Schizosaccharomyces pombe: one gene and its partner. The gene in region 1 interacts genetically with each later gene. Each region holds a gene or a part of one and is shown in the gene's direction. Other genes may lie near its edges.

What was found. A genetic interaction does not mean that the proteins touch.
Region 2: mutations in sxa2 (region 1) and eng1 together harm fitness more than expected from each alone (negative genetic interaction), as found in Schizosaccharomyces pombe (one large-scale study listed by BioGRID).

What each region holds. Positions count from the first base shown.
Region 1 is NC_003424.3:710,546-717,279, reverse strand, and holds sxa2 (serine carboxypeptidase Sxa2), read left to right. Parts: upstream 1-2,830; 5' UTR 2,831-3,265; coding exon 3,266-4,789; 3' UTR 4,790-5,063; downstream 5,064-6,734. Other genes in the region: lcp1 (cyclin L family cyclin), read left to right, coding at 1-340; mug65 (spore wall assembly protein), read right to left, coding at 659-1,057, 1,134-1,286, 1,559-1,697, 1,745-1,800; cox4 (cytochrome c oxidase subunit IV), read right to left, coding at 5,130-5,512, 5,868-5,979. UniProt on the Schizosaccharomyces pombe protein: Involved in degradation or processing of the mating pheromones. Its loss causes a persistent response to the pheromones. It may be required for stabilization of enzymes that are essential for zygote formation. May degrade the mating pheromone P-factor.
Region 2 is NC_003424.3:996,706-1,003,965, forward strand, and holds eng1 (cell septum surface endo-1,3-beta-glucanase Eng1), read left to right. Parts: upstream 1-1,926; 5' UTR 1,927-2,247; coding exon 2,248-5,298; 3' UTR 5,299-5,656; downstream 5,657-7,260. Other genes in the region: ubiquitin ligase Slp1, read right to left, coding at 1-237; superoxide dismutase Sod1, read right to left, coding at 6,294-6,758. UniProt on the Schizosaccharomyces pombe protein: Cleaves internal linkages in 1,3-beta-glucan. Has a role in cell separation where it is required for the degradation of the primary septum after completion of cytokinesis.

The sequences.
Region 1 (6,734 bases):
TACCCATATTGTCATTCCTCACAAGCTGGCAATTCATTATCTACAAACATTACAGCTAATTGATAACAAAAAGCTTTTACAAATAACATGGAATTTTTTAAACGATGCTAGCCGAACTCGACTTTGCGTTTTGTATCCTCCGTTTAGTTTGGCATGCGGCTGCATCGCAATGGCAGCTAGAGTTATCGGTATGAAATTACCCAAAGACTGGTATCGAGTCTTTGATACTACAAAAGAAGAAATCGATTCTTTAACAAGCATTTTGGAAAATTTTTATAAAACAAGCGCTATTGCTCATAAAACATTGTATCTCATTTTTACTGAGCAAGTTTCTGCTTAAAGTGTACATCTTCCTGTTTAACATTGCAGAATGGAACACAAATATATCCTTATTTAAAAAACGAGAGTATTCATTAATTGTATATACCTTTCTGTAGTAGTAGTGAGCGAATTGTTAAGATACAAGTTAGCGACATCAATTTTGCAAACTTGGCTATAAATAAAGCATAAACAACCATTAAAAAAACACGTGTGTATCTTTAAGAACGTATCACATCTTTCAGATCCTTTTCGTTTATAGAGGAAAGCATTCGAGGAAAGACGATAATAAACTAATTGAAATGGATACAGTCAGAAATTAGTGGGCTGATTATCTTGTTCAATCCTGGGGAGTTGGAGATTCTCGTAAAGCCACTTGGGAGGTAGATGCTTCTGCCGCAGTCAGCGACGCATTTAGGAGTTCATTAGCTTTACGGCAACTATGTTCAAAAACAAAGTTTTTGAGAAGGTCCTTTTTGCAGTTTTTTACATAAACCTTTTCATCTATACTGGCGGAAGCCAAAAAGGTTGCTAGGGCTTCCAATTTTTCACGGTCAATTCGACTATCCTGAAGAGCGCGTAAAAGGGCGGGAATGGTGGTAACCTCTGAAAGATCAAAGTCCGATGAATCATCTTCAAAGCTGCTTCGTGTTTGAGTACTTGACCTTTGTATGGGATATGAAGAGGAGATTGTGAAGGACTCTGGAACAAGAGGAAGTTCATCTCGTCGCAATTCTTTCTATAGAAAACGTTAAAATATGAACGGAACGAATTTTCAAACTAGCACAATTAAAGTAGCCTGTGATGTATTATACCTTTTTTCGCTTCCGGATCCATCGTCTGCGACGAACAAACGAATGAAGAGAAACCGGTTTACCATGCCAATTGTTCATGGTAAATGAAAACCCATACTGCCAACCTGATTCATCGACATCGCCGGACATGTCAATATACCAACGCTGCCATGCCTATACATTTAAACTGCTTTTTTGGTAACACATCCATTCACAAATTTAGCTAACCAAAAGCAAAGAACCAAATGAAACTTAAATAATTGAGCCAAAGGATGGTTCAACTACAGCTAATTTCATTGGTGTAAAACAAATAGCTTTCTTAAATTCAGAGAGGAAAATGTTACAACAAAAGCAGTATATTGTTAGCAAACAGTTTTCAAGCAAACTATATGCTGGTCTTATCGCTATCGTCCTAGAGGAAGACAGAGAAGAAGTTATTGACATACCCATTCCCAACTAGGATCAGGACAAGTTGCTGTTTTCGTTGAGACAGGAGACGCAACAAAATGCTGATCAACCCAAGGAGCAGGGTCAAAATTCAACAATGATTTTTCAGAGAAATAGGGTACCCCACATAGCATAATACTAAGTATAAATGTTTAGTTTCAAACTGCAAAATTGCTTTGTCATACCCACGTTGATTTTCGTAGAGAATATCAAGATGTGAAGTCCTTTCAGATTCCGTCATCTATGCAGGATCTTATTTAGTTCCATCTAGAAATTAAGAGAGAAATTATAGGAAATAAAATCTATATTAAAAAAGAAATTAATTAAAAGCTGTTTATTATAAAGATTATGGGGTAGTGGGTTCTTTATTGTATGTGCAAAACGGCGGCCGTTTTGACAACAGCCGATTTTTGGTGTTTACTAGCTAAATGACGCAACAAGCTACTAAACAATTTAGAGAATAATATTTGGTTAAAGTATATTGTTAAGTAAACAACAAAATGTTTTATATAAAAAACTTCCCCATAAAAGCAAGTTGCAGACAGAATACAGCTGTGTTTGTTTGCAATGTTTTTTTTGGTGCACCAAGTTACTATTCATTCTAGGACGGATATAAATATTAATAGAAACTGTCTTTCGAACATGAAAACAACAAACTGAAGCTCTTTTTACCAAAAAAGTTTCATGATAAGTTTTTTCATGCAATTGCAATAATTTCTATACTATAATTCAAGAACGGATCAACAGAAAAATTGAGCTACATGGCTAGAAATCCGCCATTGTGTGTTTTAACCATGCTTTAAGAAACATTTATTTTTTTCATTTAATTAATCACTATGTTTATTAGTATATTGTATATATAATTTTTAATTTTTTTCTTTTTCTTTATATTTTTATATTTATTTATTTTTATTAGTTTTTAAGTTTCTCACATAATATTTCAAGGTCTTTAAAAAGAAATAGTGTTACTAATATATAAATGTATTTATATTTTTTTAATTTAGTTATTTCTTATTTTTCATTAATACAACTAAATTATTTGACATTGATTTTTTCTTGTTATCTATCTATTTTTTATTTTATTTCTTTATTTCTAAGGGCTAAAGCCTTCATAGCAAAAGTCAAATTATTCGATTCCACCGGTCATAAAACAATCAATTTTCTCCATTCTTTGAGTCGCCTCGCATTGTTAAGCATTAAGAATGCATAAATGATCGCTGCTGAAATAAGCTGGTTTTCGATTTAAACAGACCATAGGTTATTCTAGTCCTACCCTATTCACTTGCCGCGTAAACGAAACAATTGGTTTTTTCATTAAGGACTATTGTGTTGAAAAACTTAAATGAATTAGCCTATTACTAGTAAATGGTACTTCGCTGGGTGTCTTTGTTGCCCATCTCTATTGTTGTTGATTGTAAACAATGGACAATGCTAATCTATTCAAGTGAATCCCCATTATTATGTATTATCATATATAGCATGCAACTCTTATGAAAATGAATCAGATAAACAATCCGGTTTCTTTATTCGAGTAAGTCATAGCATTTTCACATTTTTCGAAATACTGAAGCGTATAAAATTATAGTCACTTTTCAAGAATTGTTTCGAAACTGAATACATCAATATATTCCAAATATGATAAATATTATATTTAATTTAGCGCTAACGCTTTTCTCATAGGCTCAAAATCATTGTCTCTCTTTTCAATGCTGTCTTTATTTTTGAAATCTCTTTTTGCTATTATAATAATTGAATTGACTATCATTCACGCTTTACCAACTTACACTGTACATTGGAAATGCAGTATACAACAAGCCAACACGAGTTCTGCTTCCTCGAATCAGACTGTTCAACCTAGACAACACGCTGCTCCTTCTTCGGATCGAATTAAATCACTTCCTGAATTTAAGGGATCATTACCGGAATTATATTCTGGATACTTGGAAGCGAATTCCGATAAATCACTTTTTTATACATATGCCCCTGCTGTTGTTGATTCGGAAACTTTCATAGTATGGCTTCAAGGAGGACCTGGATGCGCTGGAACATTAGGCTTTTTCAGTGAAAATGGACCCATTGAAATATCCCAAAGTAGCCCCTCACCATCCCTTAATCCTGAATCTTGGACAAACTTCGCCAACATGTTATGGTTAGATCAGCCATTTGGTACGGGGTACTCCCAAGGACAGGCGGCATATACAACTACGATTGAAGAAGCTTCTTCAGATTTTGTAAATGCCCTGAAATCATTTTACCAAAAGTTTCCCCACTTAATGAAGAAAAAGCTCTACCTTGTCGGCGAAAGCTACGGTAGCATATGGAGCGCCAATTTTGCAGAGGCATTACTTTCTGAACCATCTTTGAATATAAATTTTATGGGCGTGGGAATCGTCAGTGGACTTACGGCGGACTACGAAACTCAAGAACAAATTACTGCTTCTATTTGGGTGGAACATATCAGCAAACTTGGATACTATTTTAATAATACTTCTTCCACAATATCTGAAGAGTTTAAAAAGCGCAATAAAGAATGTCAATATGATTCAGTTTTGAACAGATTGACGTTTCCTACTGAACAATACCCAATATGGAGACCAGAGTACAACTTTAGCACATCTACTTCTCTAAGGAAGCGGGAAGCTCTCGATGGTGAAGACATTGGGAATGTATTTAATTCAATTTCTGGATGTGACTTGTATTCCCTTTCTAACTTTTTACTTTATCTAGAGAACAGCTGTGTCATAACTTATGATGTTAGCCTTGATTGTAGTTTCAATGAGTATAATGATCCCTTAATCACATACCTGAACAGAGAAGATGTTCGCTCTTCTTTACATGCTACGAAAGCTTCAACTGCGTTGACAAGCGGCGAGGGTGTCTTCGCAGACGGATGCAATTTTGACTTATACAAAAAGATTGTGAGTAACAACGTAGAATCAGTTCTCGTTGAAATAATTCCACGCTTAACAGAAAAATACAAAGTGTCTTTCTTAGCTGGGGCATTGGATCTTCAAATTCTTTGGACCGGAACTCTTTTGGCATTGCAAAATACAACATGGAATGGATGGCAGGGATTCACTCAATCTCCTGGAAGTTTAGAGACAACTAATGGATTTACTTTGGATGAACGTAACTTAGCCTTTACATTGTCCAACTCGGTTGGGCACATGGCTCCATCTAAAGACCCTCAAATGGTTAGAGAATGGCTTGAAAATACGTTGCTTTATTAAAAGTTTAATATCGGAAAATTTAAAATACAAGTTTATTGACTTACCACTGATGTGGTATATCAATAAATAACTATCGTTTATGAAACTCGGAACGATAATTAGATCATATTTCCGCATGACTACAAGAAAAAAAGAATGGTGCTTGAATTAACAACTAAGATATGGTTGAATAGATAGAATTATTTATAAGATATACGTTTACGAATAATCGAATCGTTCCCAAAATAAGAAATAGATCAGCATACAGTTTTCATTGATTTTTCAAAGTTCAAATAAAAGAGCTAAATTGTTATAAAAGAGTATGAAAATAGCAAGGGGATATGGAAGATTGGTAAGCATACTAATGACTGTGTTCAGCGTTGGGATCTCCCATGAATTTTAATTTGTATACAGATCCGCATTCAGGACAACGGCGGAGTTTGTCTTTGTAGACAGTCATCCAAATTAAATTATGTGAACCAGAAGGACTACCAGTACAGCCAATATGACGGTAAGGATCAAGAGAAGTGACCATTATAGGATCCGTCAATGTGCCTTTACGAGAAGCATCCAACGGTTTCATATCAAATGCATCTCTCCCTGAAAGCTCTGATAAAAGTTCATATCGTTCCAAACCAGTGGCTTGCTCCAAATCAGTTGGAACCTCGCCGTCACGACCACCAGGTCCGATCAAATCAGAAGGTTCCTTAGCGTTGGCTAATTCTTGAGCGGCGGCTTTTACAACTAAAAGAATGTTAGTGAAGGAGATAAAAATTAAGCTAAAAAGCCCTAAAATGTATCGGCAGCACAAATTAACAAGTCATATCTACTAAGCGACTTAATAGATGAAATAGAAAGCGTTTTAAGAGAGTGGGCTATAGGCAACGTCGATTTTCATTCTTTTGATTACTTTTTAGGTCTGTAAAATATAGAAAAGAATGAATGGGCACACAAGCCTAACTTCCGATATATAATTAATAGCAAAACTGTACATCGGAGATCAAGAGTCAACGGAAGCTTTACTCCTATAGCCAGTACTAAACAAGCTTTAACCATTAAGCTGCTATGACAAACTTTACTAAGCTTTCAAAGGACTTACCGTTTTGCTCATTACGGCGGATTGAAGCAGAAACAAAGCCACGGTACAGAGAAACAGTACTCCTGACCGCTGCTCTTTGTCTGGAGACACGAAGCATAGAATTCATAAACATCTTAAAAGACAATTATTGATGATTTATAACCTGATAATGGGTGAGATGGGGTGTTGTGTAGTTTCCAACGTTGGTCCGGTATTGTGTAACGAAATTTGGTAGGACAGCAAGCTACAACAGAAAAAAAGATGAGAAGGTTAACAAAAAACGGAATTATTTCTTAAACAGTTACGAATAAGATGATAATGGGGAAGTTCCAATATTACTATTGCCTTAATTATATTGTATAAAAAACGAGTAGTATGAGATGTCCTTTTCTTGATTGACTATCGGTGCTCATAACTTGCTAAACATATCTGAGTGTTATAATTAAAGGGATCATTGCTATATTTCTACTGATTGTTTGTGTTTTTTAAGGTTCATGAGCTATACCCTGGAAGAAATTGACTTAAATTGTTTTGTTTACTCATTTCTTATACAACTCTTTATGAACTAGAGGTTTAATGTATCATGTTTGCCTCGGGAATATTAATTATTTTAAAAGCAATATGACCGAAAGAAATAAATTCCCTAGTGATGAACGATTTTCAGGTCGTTCATTTTCGATCTTGTCCTCTCAATTATTACAATCCGTTTGTTCTATTGTTTAAAGCAAACATGCATACATTCTCTGTATATTACTGACCACATTGTGTTAATCAATTAAATCTAATACGAAATACTATTTTTTAATACCTTTTCGTTGGTTCATTTAGTCGTTTCTTTTCATCTAGTTTATTCACATTAAATTTCATAGCTTTTCATAATAATTGTAA
Region 2 (7,260 bases), 280 kb from region 1:
GTTTCGTGGTGATCCGCATAGTGGAATAGACCAATCTGTATTTACTACATCGATTTTTGGTGAGTTTCTGATAAAAGAAGATTTAGGGGAGCAACGCTTGGAAGAACGACCGTTACGGCCTAAAAGTGCCTGCTGATGCAGGGGAGTTATAGGGCTGTTAGGGAAGACTAAGTTCCTTTTCTTTGTGGGTGTTGAAAATGTAGGCGATATGGTTGAAGAATTACCTGCTATCTCCATTTTGATTAACTCGCTCAAAATATATATGTAAAAGAAAAATAATGCAAGAAGCGAATATCAAAGGACAGAAACGTATCCAAAACTTTGAATAAAACTTCTAATGAATTAGAAATAAAGTGGATTTCAATTTCTTTTTGTTGTAGAAAAGATGAAAGAGAAAAAGAAAAGCGAAGAAAGAAAAGACTTTTTAAAAATTCAATAGGTAAGCTATATAATAATGTAACGTTAGTAGCAAAAAGAATTCAACTTTTTTGAAAGCCTTTATTAATTTTTTAAGCTTTGTTGTTGCTGTTTTTTTTTTTAGAGAAAAGAAAGTGCGCTAACAAATAAAGGACTATTAGGTTTCGTAAACAAATCGTAGAAGGAGAAACGAACGTCTTCAAGAATTAATCGATTTTAAGCAAATGAATGACTTTATGATGACCGGCACCACAGCGCATTAATTAATATTTTTGAATAATTGGATAAAAGAATGAGTCGAGTGCTAATATAGCAAGCAATGCAATGCAATGAAATAATATGTGAAGGAGAACCTGCTCAAAGAAATAATCTATTAACTGTATAAGGAAGAGATACCAGTCTTTTCCTTAAGACAAACAATATAGGACCAGCCTAATATATCAAAGAAAAAGGATCCGAAGATACTAAAACTTTGTAACGTTGAAATTCAAAGTGTTTAGATGATTTGTTTACAATAAATTCAGGACCACAGCGTTTAGTATATAAATGCTCTGAATACCCTAACCCTTGGTTACTATGGCTACCACGTGTAAATAAACAAGAGTGAACAATATTTACAGCTTATGGTAATGCTGCGCGTACAGTTGAGGTAAATATAACAACAAACTCTTGATAAACAATGTATTTTCTACTTTTATACTAAATATATTTAAATTCTACTGCATGTTTGTTTTCATTTCTCATCAACCCCCCAGTTTAAATCTGCTAAAATTTGTAACGCATTTCAACAATCTATCCCGTATTCCAACCACCCATCTTTAGCAAAGCGAGTGTTTTGTGTTGTTGCTTTGCTACACGCTACCTTACTAAACAACTGGACACTTTCCAAACAATATGTTGCCTGTACCTATTTTTGTAAAATTTCTGTATTTAGCAATCTATTGAAAAGTGATTTTTTACTATTTGGTTATTTAATAGGTATCCTGAACCCTCACGAATCACCAAGCATTTTTCAATTCAAATTACATAAATATATTTACTCCCATGTTCCACTGTCAAGAAATTAAATTTTCGCGAGCGCGTTTTTAATAAGTAGCTCTTGGCGAAATGCTTGTATTTGGAAAATCTACTGATACTTACTACTCCTGAATATTATTTCAAGTACTATCTAGATACCAATTGTTTTATCCCACGCGTTTCTACTTTTCGAAAGCCACCGGACGCCAAAATATTTAACTACCTAGCTACTTAACGTCATTTTGAAGAGTATCATACAATCAAATAACGCCAAAGTAATGTTTCAAGTTGTGTTGTTTACATTTGCTTATGTATAAACAGTTTTTCTTAAAAAGGGCTGGCTGTTAAGACATCCAGATTTCCGCCGACCACCCACATTTGTCCTCTTTATGGTAAATATGGCTGGACATGCTAAGAAAAAGGACATGATGGCTGTCCAAGTTTCCAAATTTGGAATAATATAAAGTATCAAGGTTCGCTTTTCTAATTACTATAACCTAAGTAAGACACAACCTCCTTATTGATTGTAAACAATCGGGAAATCTTGAAACCCAAGTGATACCTAATCTGGAAAACTTAAGAATTTACTAATCCATATCCACTTAACTATCATAATAACATTGGATATTGGAGTCTAATAAATCCTTAAGCAGCTTCTTCTTAATTATTGTATTACCTTTTTGATTTCCTCATTCTTTGTTTCATTTTTTTTTGTTACTTTAGCAATTTTAGTTTAAATCTTTTATTTTCTCTGTCTTTCCTTTTAGTCATTTTTGGTTTGCTATCTTTTCACTTACTTTATTGTTAGGAACTATGAGTTCCTATTTACGTTCTTTTATATTTGGTCTTTTGACCATAAGTTTGGCACAATGCTCGCCAATCCTTAAGGATACCAAGGATACCAAATTTTCCACAGGCTCTAATATTAGCTTAAAAAAACGTGATACCAATGTTTTCGACTCTGTTGTTGATACTATCAACCCAGCCAGTTATTTCGGCACCGTTTCGCACCCAGTTACTCCTGCCGGCGTCAGTACTGACAGCTTGAGCTCCCCTATTGAAACTAACAAATTTTTTGATAATAATTTACTTGGTTCTCGTACTAATTTCATGTATGCTGATCCCTTCAGATATTGGTGGCAGTCTTCAGACACGATGGGTGGCATTTGTATTGCTCATACCGATGACAATCAACGTGTAATGGATACGGACGATACAATCCCTTCCTATTATTATGAACCCATCGGTATTTGTTCGCTCGGATTTGGTGCTTCTGGTATTACCTCTAATACTGACCCAATTGTCGACGAGATTGATCAGATGTCTGCTCGCTTTACTTTCTCTTGGGACTCTTCGTCTATGCAACTTACTTTGACTGAGGGTATGGCCGTTACTACTGCTGTCTACACTAATGCTATTCCTCAAATTTTTTCATCCACTCTTTATATCAATGACTTTGTCGAAGTGCCGGGTACTTCTGCTGTTCAAAAGTATCGTGTCACGATGTCTGATAACCACGTTTGGCTTATTTACATTTATGGGGATAGCCTTACGTTGACTGAATCCACATCTCAAATGCTTGTTGGAAGCAACACTTTCAATGGTTACATTCAAATCGCGAAAATTCCTCTTGGAGATGGCACCGCTGAAGCTCTTTATGACACTTATGCGGGTGTCTATATTACCGGTATTAGTATTTCCGGATATGTTGAGGATGCTGTTGGTTATTACTCGTTTGATTTTACGACTGCTGGGGATACTTCAGTAGAGCCTCTATTTTTCTTATTGCCTCATCAAGTGGATACAGCTGTCAGTGGTACCAAAGTTACATCCATTGTTTTGGCTTCTCTAGTAAGTGGTGATATGAATGCCGCAGCTGGAAACTCTATAACATTCGCCGAAGCTATTCCTCAGGACATTGGTTTTCTTCCATGGTCGCCGACAGGTGGTCAGATTGGTTATTCGGAAGAAGCATTAGAGATCATCGCTGAGGTTGCTGGTACTGAATTGGGCGAAGACTTCTCTGCCAACTCTAATTTGAATTCAATGTACTATTCTGGCAAAGTTTTGGCTAAGTATGCAATGCTGTGTGTTACAATTAATGATATTCTTGGTGATGAGACCAGCAGCGAACAATGTATTCAAAAACTAGAGGCTGCTTTTGCCCGTTTTGTTGACAATCAGCAAATTTACCCTCTGACTTATGATAACACTTGGAAAGGAGTTGTCAGTGTAGCTGGTCTATCTGGTGATTCCTTGGCTGATTTTGGTAACAGCTACTATAATGATCACCATTTCCATTATGGTTATTTTGTTTTCACTGCTGCTGTAATTGGTCATATTGATCCTGACTGGATTAACACTGGGAACAATAAGGAATGGGTTAACTTTCTAGTTCGTGATGTTGCCAATCCATCATCAAATGATCCTTACTTTCCAAAGCACCGAATGATTGATATTTATCATGGTCATGGTTGGGCATCTGGTTTGTTTGAGTCTAATGATGGCAAGGATGAAGAATCAACGTCCGAAGATTATAACTTCTTTTTCGGTATGAAACTTTGGGGTCAAGTAATTGGCGATTCTGATATGGAGGATCGCGCAAACATTATTTTGGGCATTGAAAGAAATGCTTTGAATAAGTACATGCTGTATGCTGATGGAAACGTCCAGCCCACTTCTATGCAACCTAATTATGTTGCCGGTATTACATTCATGAACAAAATTACTCACACTACCTATTTTGGTACTAATATTGAGTACATCCAAGGAATTCATATGTTGCCTATCACTCCAATTTCAGCTTTTATCCGTGGTCCTAGCTTTGTACTAGCTGAATGGAATGCCTTACTTGCTAGTGTCATTGACTATGTAGATAGCGGTTGGAGAAGTCTTTTATATGCTAATCTAGCTATTGCTGAACCTGAAGAAAGTTATGAATATTTCTCCAGTTCTGATTTTAATACCGATTACTTAGATGACGGGGCCTCTCGTGCCTGGTATTTGGCTTATGCCGCTGGCTTATGGGCTAATGATGCCGTTTATTATCCTGTTAGCTCTTCTTCTACCACCACGACCTCTACGAGTACCGGAAGTGTTACGACAACCTCTACTACTGCAACTGCCAGTTGTACACTACCTATATCCTATACTTCGACTCCTACTACTACAAGCATCTCTGGTACTTGTAATGGTGCTACGTTTGATGCAAGTTTGTATGTATGCGACGGAACTGTACTCTGCCCTATTGTTAATGGTGTATCATATCAAAACTGCAACGGAGCTTGCTATAACCCTTCGCAATATGGCTGCGACAATGGAGCTTTGGGCCCTGTTCAATCTTCATCGACCACTTCCTCCATTACGCCTACTCCCACAACTACTTCCTCAATAACACCCACACCTACTACAACTTCAACAACTACTACCGCACAGTCAACTGGCATGCAACTATGTGGCTCTAACTACTACGACGCATCCTCTTATTATTGTGACAATGATCAGTTATGTCCTATAATAGACGGAGTGGATTACTTGAGTTGTAATGGTGCATGCTATAATCCTTCCCAATATGTTTGTTCTGATGGTTCTTTGTCTCCAAACACTGTTACAACAACAAAAGCTACTACAACTTTCACACCTACACCTACCACAACTACTACACCTACACCTACTACTACATCTGCTACATCCACTAATGTGATAGCCCAATGTGGATCAGCTTGGTATGATTCACAAAGTTATATTTGTTATGGCAATATACTGTGTCCCATTATAAATGGGTCTCCATTGTTAGCTTGTGGTAATGCGTGCTATGACTCCTCTATATACGGTTGCTCCAATGGTGCACTTGTTGCTGCTTAAGCATGACCAAAGTCCGGAATTGTATTGCGAGGTGCTTTTTTGGATTTCTTCAGATGTACTATACTTATTGCTTGTATGTTTTCAAACTATTTAAAAAACTACATTTTGTTCATAATACACGTCTGGAACGTGAACTACTCTCAACTTGAAACCCTTTTTGGATATCGTCTAGGCCGGCTTAGAGATCAATTTATTAAAATTATTCTTGCTGAGTTTTTCTTTTTTGCATCTTTTTGAATTAGTTGGTTATTATTTAACCACTTATTTTATTAATTGTTCACACTGGATGTGAACCTTTAGACTTATAGAATAAAATTTATTTTAAAATACAACTTGTGCAGATGTTTTCAGTTTACACAAACTTGCCTGTCGTTATTGTTTAGTTGAAATTAGTTCGTAAAAATTCATTGATACGTAAAAGTAATAACAAAATCAACAAAGATGAAACGATGGTATTATGATTAATAAAAAAAAAGGCTTCACCCATTAGAATTTTAACAAGATGTGTTGATATTGCTACTATGTGTGTATCTATTAATCAACATTCTATATATCTTTTTTTAAACAATACGAAAAGCACTTTCTATCATCTTTATGCACGAACTCAACGATGCAAAACAAAGTTTTCTGACTAAAAGATCAAAAATTGTTGCTGCTTTTGCTTCTTCATTATCAATACCGAAACAAAGTTACAACAATTCCTTCTAATTAACTGAATTTTATGTAAACTCGAACGCAGAGTCTTAAGGACAAAAATACATCACTACATTTTTTTACACATATAACATAATAGTAACAAACAGCTTCCACAAAGCTACAGTACTTATCATCATCAATTAAATTAAGTTTTTTAATACAGAACCTATAGAAGCATAATATACGGAACTTTTCATAAAAAAAAAGAAATTTGAGATCACTCAACTAAATGATAACAATACTAACCAACACCTAAACCCACAGCCATTTGAACAAAAAGACGTAAAAACTCAATAAATTTAGACGGCAATACCAATGACACCACAAGCGTTACGTGCACCAGCGTTACCAGTCTTCAAAGACTCTTCACTAGTACCCTTACCAAGATCATCCTCACCGGCATGAATGACAATGGTACGGCCAATGATGCTGTTGGCACCAAACAATGAGATAACAGAATCAGAGAAAGTAGTCTTGATGTTGCCCTGAGCATCGCTTTCCAAGTTACCAAGATCACCAACGTGACGAACAGCGGCGGTACGGTCACCGTGAGTCTTACCCTCTGGGTTAAAGTGAGGACCAGCAGAGGTACAACCGTTGGTATTATCACCGAATTGGTGAATATGGAAACCACGCTTGGCATTAGCGTCATTGCCAACGAGATCCACAATCACAGAAACTTGAGAGTTTTGATCGACTTGTTCAAAAGTAACGACACCACTGACCTTAGAGTCACCACGAAGAACTGCTACAGCTCTAACCATTTTGTATGACGATAATTTACTTTAAAAAAATACAACAAGAGAAGGGGTGTTTTGAGTAATTAAGTGTTTTGAAGGAAAATCAATAAGATTTTAACCACACTTCAAAGTTGGAGATTTCGAAAATTTTGTTTGGAATTGGAAGAGGATAGGGCGGCGTGTCATCGCTTATATAGTAAATAGCTCCACGCGGAATATACATGAAATTTTAACGATATCAACTCAAATCAATTTTTCGATATGACCAATGTTTTTTTATATTCTAAAAACGAAGAAATTGTCTTTATACTTATCGATTTAACAAATTTGCTTTACAAAGCATTGTCTAGTCCGTGCCTTCGAGCCTCCAAAATAGGCCAATAAGCTACGCCGAGCATCACCTCAGCTTGGCGTTGGCTTACTCCACCAGTATTCGTAATCATATTACGTGCTCCTTCGCGGAATTGAAATTCCGCTAAAGATGATAACGCGCCACTCGAAGAATAAATAACGATATCTAAAGTTG